Arabidopsis thaliana: one gene and its partner. The protein of the gene in region 1 purifies or fractionates together with the protein of each later gene. This does not show direct contact. Each region holds a gene or a part of one and is shown in the gene's direction. Other genes may lie near its edges.

The links. Proteins that work in one complex are often made in the same cells at the same time.
Region 2: the proteins of AT5G26830 (region 1) and AT3G02760 fractionate together in Arabidopsis thaliana (co-fractionation; one large-scale study listed by BioGRID). This does not show direct contact.

The regions. Positions count from the first base shown.
Region 1 is NC_003076.8:9,435,279-9,439,030, forward strand, and holds the start of AT5G26830 (Threonyl-tRNA synthetase), read left to right. Parts: upstream 1-1,908; 5' UTR 1,909-2,072; coding exon 2,073-2,299; intron 2,300-2,408; coding exon 2,409-2,646; intron 2,647-2,740; coding exon 2,741-2,800; intron 2,801-2,959; coding exon 2,960-3,049; intron 3,050-3,217; coding exon 3,218-3,292; intron 3,293-3,410; coding exon 3,411-3,539; intron 3,540-3,622; coding exon 3,623-3,712; intron 3,713-3,752. Other genes in the region: IREG3 (iron-regulated protein 3), read left to right, coding at 82-183, 553-664, 762-908, 1,041-1,147, 1,238-1,351, 1,431-1,727.
Region 2 is NC_003074.8:598,713-602,464, reverse strand, and holds the start of AT3G02760 (Class II aaRS and biotin synthetases superfamily protein), read left to right. Parts: upstream 1-1,681; 5' UTR 1,682-1,814; coding exon 1,815-3,164; intron 3,165-3,238; coding exon 3,239-3,418; intron 3,419-3,508; coding exon 3,509-3,752. Other genes in the region: AT3G02770 (Ribonuclease E inhibitor RraA/Dimethylmenaquinone methyltransferase), read left to right, coding at 581-764, 1,132-1,448.

The DNA.
Region 1 (3,752 bases):
TATGGAATCTATGTACTTTATGCCCTTTGAACTTTTGAACTCCAGTAATTCATCAATTGACATAATTGTAACCTTAAATAGATAGCTGGGACGATGTTATTTGGCATTCTCCTATCCAAATATGACCCTGTGACCTGCTTAAAGTTTGCTGCCACACTAATGGTGGGTTCTTTGCCAACCATGGTAAGTAGCACCTATAAACTTGTGGTTATTCTTCTTTCGTCCAAGCTAAATAAGGGAAACACAAAGCTGCTGTGTTGTACGAGGCTGAACTATGTGTAATAGAATCATTCCTGTTTCCTATGTTTCAAGTTTCGAATTCTTTTTTCTTCAATTAAAAAGGCAGTCTTTCTCGTTTAGGTTTTGGATAATTGGAGCTTAGCCTAGATGGAGTATTATTAGTTCTTTTAACTAGATAAATAAGCTGTCATCAACATTGGAGTGATACTGTTCTGCTTCAGATCCTAGAAGCAATTCCACTTGCGCTTTACCAATTTATATGGGACTTCTTACCATCTTGCACTTCTAATAGAAGAAATCTGTTTTCTTCAGACAGCTCTTATATGGCTGACCAACAAGTTCTCCTCTGGAGTTCTGGACCGTCCTAAATGCTCCTTGAACAGCTGTTCTGCTGAAGGATCTCGTACTAATACCGACAGTATTTGTAAGGAAACCTTTTACTTTATACTACTTGGATACGCATAATTTATGATTTGAGCATGTAGTAGACATCACAAAATACCATTTGCTTTGTTCATCAGTTGATATTGGCATGGAAACTATCAAGCTCGGATGGAAAGAATATATTCAACAGCCAGTTCTTCCTGCTAGCCTCGCATATGTCCTTCTCTACTTTAACATCGTCCTCACCCCAGGCAGCTTGATGACTGCATTTCTAACACAACGATGTATGCTACTTCGACTCGGTCCCTTACTTTTCTTTAGTGCTTGGATGAAAATCGTAATTAATCTTGCGAGAGTCTTTGTGCTATTACCTATTACTCTTTCAAATTAGTCACCAATCTGTCTTTTTTCAACAGGTGTGAATCCATCAGTTATTGGTGGTTTCAGTGGATTATGCGCTGTTATGGGCGTCGCCGCAACCTTCTTATCAGCAAACTTGGTCAAACGAGTTGGCATTTTAAAGGTGAAATGTTTTCCCGCCATTTGTTATCTTGAGCTTGTATTGCGTTCAAGCTGATTAATGTTATTGCGTTTGCGTTTTAAAACGATGCAGGCGGGTGCAGTAGGATTGTTTTTCCAAGCTTCACTCCTTGCCGTTGCTGTTGCTGTGTATTGTAGCTCTTCTCTATCCCATAAAAGCCCACTCTTCTTCTTCTTGTCCATGATCGTAAGTTGTTTCTTCACTCTCTCTCTCGACCAGTAATATGCGGTTTTGGTGTTGACTAAAAGGTAACAAACAAATGCAGGTATTATCAAGGCTAGGTCACATGTCTTACGGCGTTGTGGGAGCTCAAATACTTCAAACCGGCATTCCATCATCCAAGGCTAATCTCATCGGCGCAACGGAGATCTCAGTGGCAAGTCTAGCTGAATCGCTTATGCTCGGAGTAGCCATAGCGGCGAATGACGCTTCCCATTTCGGGTTTCTCGCGGTTCTGTCTCTTTTATCAGTTGTTGCGGCCTCATTGATATTCTGCAGATTGCTGAGAAATCCCACTGATGAACAAAGACGACTCTTCTCCTTCGACCCTCTCTCAAATTGATTTGGAGCTTTTACATTGAAATATTTGTATAGTAGTTTCACTTTCAGTGTATAAATTCTTTATATAAAGTAAAGAAAAAAATTGACTTTGGTGTGAAAAATTCAAGAAGTATTCCACTTCCACCATTACTACTCTAAACAAAAAGTACTAAACTGGCTAAACCTTAGTTATTTTTCTAAACCGAGAATTAACGAGATAATTTAACAATCGATTTCAAAAACCAGCAAACCGAAATCACCCAATTTTTGGTCGGTTTGGTTCGATTTTGTTTTCTTTCACCCCTGACGAAGAAAAAAAAAACCCTAGTCACACTCAGATAACATAAACCTTTGACAACAAATTTTGATGCTCCTTCGTCTTACGGCTCGCTCTATTCGTCGTTTCACAACTTCTTCTTCGTCTCTACCATTGCTCTCATCGTCTTCGTTTTGTACTGTTCCAACAATGGCAGCTAATCATCCTAAGGATGAAGCGTATCTCTCCGCCGTCATCCCCAAACGTATCAAGCTTTTCGAGCAGATCCAAGCGAATCAACTCGAGAATCTTAAGTCTCTTCCACACGATCCGATCAAGTAAATACGATGCCGATGTTCTTATGTATCAGTGTGATTTGTAGTTTATAAGGTTTTACTTTGTTTCCTTGAAGATTGACTTCGATTTTCTGGTGTTGTGTGTGTTTAGGGTTACGTTACCAGATGGAAATGTGAAAGAAGGAAAGAAGTGGGAGACAACTCCGATGGATATCGCTGCTCAGATTTCTAAGGGTTTGGCTAATTCTGCGTTGATTTCGGCTGTTGATGATGTTCTTTGGGATATGAATAGGCCATTGGAAGGTGATTGTAAGCTTGAGCTTTTCAAATTTGATAGCGATAAAGGTCGTGATACTCTTTGGCATTCTAGTGCGCACATTCTTGGTCAGGTAAAGGAGTTTTGATCTTATCTGATTTGTGAAAGTTTTGGTTGTGGTGAACGAACGAGTTGTTTACTGTGGTTGTGGGTTGATCTTGGTGCAGGCTCTCGAGCAGGAGTATGGGTGTCAGCTGTGCATTGGACCATGCACAACGAGAGGAGAGGTAAGAGGAGCTTGTTTGTGCTAATTGTTACTTGTTTGTATATCATGTTCCATCATTTGTGAAGTTTGGTTTCTCTGTTTGGGTGTTTCTTGGTATTTTAATGAAGTGTTGTGTGTAAATAAGCTATCGCTGATGTTAGTAATGGATTTGTTATTGCAGGGTTTCTACTATGATGGATTTTATGGTGAATTGGGCCTGAGTGACAACCACTTTCCTAGCATCGAAGCAGGTGCTGCAAAAGCTGCTAAGGTGTTGTTTCTTCTTTTTGATTCGATTACTTTTAAGGTTTCTTACAATGTATGTTATAAAATATTTGCTTATTTTGTCAAACCTTTTTAGTGAAAAATGATTGATATATGTCTCCCAACTCTTAGCCATAGTTTCTATTGGTTTGATTCGCTTCTATTTGCATCTCAGGAAGCACAACCATTTGAAAGGATTGAAGTGACGAAGGATCAGGCACTCGAGATGTTTTCTGAGAATAATTTTAAGGTGGGTTAAGCTGTGTATAAATATCATTGGATTGTGTTATGCTCACCTAACCTTACATTCATTTCTGTCCTCTATGAAGTTGTTGTTTGGACTCATTATTCTGCTGTTAATCATGTAGGTTGAACTCATCAATGGTTTGCCTGCAGACATGACCATTACTGTCTACAGATGTGGCCCTTTGGTGGATTTGTGTCGTGGACCGCACATACCAAATACTTCCTTTGTGAAAGCGTTCAAGTGTTTGAGGGTGATTTGCTACTGTATCTCTAGGAGCTACATCTCTACAGATTCTAGTTTGTTTTCTTATGCTGACCAATATATTTTTCTCAGGCCTCATCAGCTTACTGGAAGGGTGACAAAGACCGTGAGAGCTTGCAGAGAGTTTATGGGATATCTTATCCTGATCAGAAGCAGCTGAAGGTACTCAAAATATCTTAATTATTTATGGCAGCTACGCTGT
Region 2 (3,752 bases), on another chromosome or scaffold:
GCAATAATAAAGTTTTCGTTTTTATCTTAATTAATGAATGAATGTCACAAAGTTTGTGAGATGTACAAAAAGCGTCGAGGAAAAGGATAACAAGGAAACAGAGTCGAAACCAGAGAAAAGGCAACGCAAAGATTCCTTTTTTCGAAGCTTAACGACAACCCACCTTCCATCTGATTTAAGTAAAGTTAAAAGTCACTAATTTAATATTATTGAACGACCGAAACAAGTATGTTGATGACTTTGTTCTCCTTTAAATTATCATCACTTCATTTCTCAGAGATTTACGCACACAGAGTTCTCTTCTTCGTCCTAGTTTCTTCTATTCCAGGTAAATGAAATAAGATTCGATCAAAACCCAGATGGATTTTGAAATAGTTTTCTTGTGAATTGAATGAAAAGTGTGTATCTTTCCTTCTGGGTTTTGATTGATTGACTGAGAATATATATGATCACTTTATCTAGACTAATCTCGATTTGTCTTTTGCTTTCTGTGTTTGAGTAATTTCTCGTAAATCTCATATAATCAAATCCCCAGATTACTTGTTTTGATCATAATTCTTGATTCAGGTGAGAAGAAAAAATGGCGTTTGTGACCACTGCGGAAGTGTGTGACGCGAATCAAGAGATGATTCGAAGTGGCCAGCTCCGAGCTCTGCAACCCGTTTTTCAGATTTATGGTCGTCGTCAAATATTTTCAGGTCCAGTAGTTACTGTTAAAGTCTTTGAAGACAATGGCTTAATCCGTCACTTCCTCGAAGAGAAAGGTATTAATGATTCTTGCTTATAAAATTCAAAAGACTGAAACTTTACTCGTAGAGCTATGAACTTTCAGAGTATCTTTGACATGGTTTATTGGTATTGTTACATTTTAGATTCAATTCTTGTGTTACTTACTTGTCAAATAGTTTCAATTGTTCTTTGCTTGAAACTATGTTTGAAGAAGTCTTAAGATCATCTCTCTATGATTTAGAACTACTGCTCAGTGTTTATATACTTCTTCAGTCACTTTGCTAATCAAGTTCTTGAATACTAGAGACGAGATAGGTCTTTCAAAAACCCGAGTCAATAAACCAATCTGTTCTCTGTAGCATTCACATCAAAAGCTCAATAATGTTTTAAATGTTAAAACAGGCAATGGTAGAGTTCTTGTGGTGGATGGTGGAGGGAGTTTACGCTGTGCGATACTAGGAGGAAACCCGGTCGTACAAGCGCAGAACAACGGATGGGCAGGGATCATAGTGAATGGATGCATCAGAGACGTTGATGAGATCAATGGTTGCGACATTGGAGTGAGAGCTTTAGCTTCTCATCCAATAAAGGCTAGTAAGAAAGGACTTGGTGAACAAAGAGTCTCTTTGAACATTGCAGGCACTCGGATATGCGATGGCGAATGGCTTTATGCAGATACTGATGGTATCCTTGTTTCTCAGATTGAATTATCCGTTTAAAAGGACACAAGTGATGTTGTTGATTTGTTAAAATCTGTAAGCTACTACTTTTGTGCTTTGTGTTTCTGTAATGGCTATCAGAGTAAAAGTTGGCTTCTTTGAATATGATTATTGAACTATTGAATCCGTTTCGAGTTGATAAAAAAAAACATTTCGTAAAGTGAAAATTGCAAAAAGATCCTTGAAGTATCCATACAAGCATTTTTCGTAGATCAATTTCCAATAACTGGATACTTCGAGGGTCATTTTGCAGTTTACCAATTTTCTAAATCCGCCTTCTTGCAATTTCACAGTGCTTCGTTTTAGGTCAAACACAACGAAAGACAGAAAACCCTAATCACTCCGGCTTCAGCTCTGTGTGTGATAATGGCGGCGGAGAGATCGTCCATCACTCTCGGAGGGAAAGGTTCTTCTTTATCTTCTTCCTCCGTTTACAATGTTGCTTCCGGCGTCGCTAATGTTCGAATTGACTCTTCTGCGATCGAGAGATTCTCCACTAGAAACGTTCCATCGATCAAAAGGAGCTCCTTTGGTATCCCTCAAGGGTTAACGAACGAAGAAACTCGAGCTTCTCTGGCTGTTCTCTTAAACAAGCTTATTTTGTCGACTTCTGGTCCTCCTTCTTCATCCACCGCTCGTTCTGTTCTTCCGCTTAAGATTGTTGAGATTCTGAATTTGAAGGCTGAGAGTTTGGAATTGGGTGAGATTGATGTGACAGAAGGGGAAAACATTGTGTTGGAGAAGTCGTGTGCTTCGTTGATTGGGATTTGTTCTATTATAGATCACAAATCGACGACTCTTTCACAGATTGTGGATTCTGTTGCTGCGTTGAGTTGTGAGGTTACAAAGGCTGATATAGCTTCGTTTAGCTTGTTGGATTCAGGAGATGGGAATGGTGATAAAGATGTGATTGGTGTTGCTGGTGATCTCAAGGTTTTGCTTAACGGGTATAAAGGTACAGGGAAATTAGAAATAGAAGAGATTTCGAAAATCCCTTGGATTCATGGGAAATTCAGGTATGTGGTGAAAAGCGTGCACGCGGATGCTAGGAGAGAATTGAATTCCGGTGTTAAAGGAGGCAAAACTGGGTCTGGAAACACTGGGATTGGTGAGGCTTTAGGAACAACATTGTTACCTTTGTTAACGGCGATTAAAAACTTGGGAGTGTGTTCGTTCCTTCGTGCTAAGCTTTGTTTTGAGAAGATTGTGGATGAGAATCTGAAGAAATGTTTATCTGAAAAGATCTGTGTTGAGAATGAGAATCTAAAGAATAGCTATAAGTTAGCTTATACTGCTCATTTGGAAGAGGATTACTGCAGGTTTGCTCACAAACTGAATGAGTGTCTGGGAATTGTATGGAGAATTGTTGGTTTGGAGGCAGTTGCTGCCTTTTTTGCTCTTGCTGGTGGAGAATTGTTTGTTCAGAAGAGCGGAGATGCGGACAAAGAAGAGTCGAAGACCGATAAGAAAAAGAAGAAGAATGAGAAAAAAGCAGTTGTGGGAAAGGGGACAAGCCTAGTTATCCAGTTTATCAAAGATAGATTGGTGAGTAATGACGCAGCAAGTGATGGTGACCAGATGCATTCATTGATGCAATGTGGGGAGCAAATCTTAAATCTTTTCAACCCAGAGGGTCGCAGTTTTGATAGCTTGTTGGATAAAGTGAAAGAGATTGTAGAAAGTAATGAAAATAGGAGACTTCCCAAGCTTCCAAAGGTAAATTACAATCTCGTATATGGAGAAGGTTTAGGCCTCAGAGTTAATTTCTGATTTGTTTCATTCTATGACAGGGAACTCGAGATTTCGCTAAAGAACAAATGGCAGTCCGAGAAAAAGCCTTTTCAATCATACAAAACGTTTTCAAGAGGCATGGTGCAACTGCACTTGATACTCCTGTTTTTGAATTGAGAGAGACCCTTATGGGAAAGTACGGAGAAGACTCGAAATTGGTTTATGATATTGCTGATCAGGTAGAACTCTTCTTGGCTGCTGTAATATCATCAGTTTATGTGATGATTTGTTTGTCAAAATTTGAGCTCATATGGATCTATTAATTGCAGGGTGGAGAGCTTTGCTCTTTACGATATGATCTAACTGTTCCATTTGCACGGTATGTGGCTATGAATGGAATCACATCATTCAAAAGATACCAAATAGCAAAGGTGTACAGAAGGGATAATCCATCTAAAGGGAGATACAGAGAGTTTTATCAGTGTGATTTTGATATCGCTGGTTTGTTCGAACCAATGGGACCCGATTTTGAAATTGTCAAGATATTAACTGAACTCCTCGATGAGTTAGAAA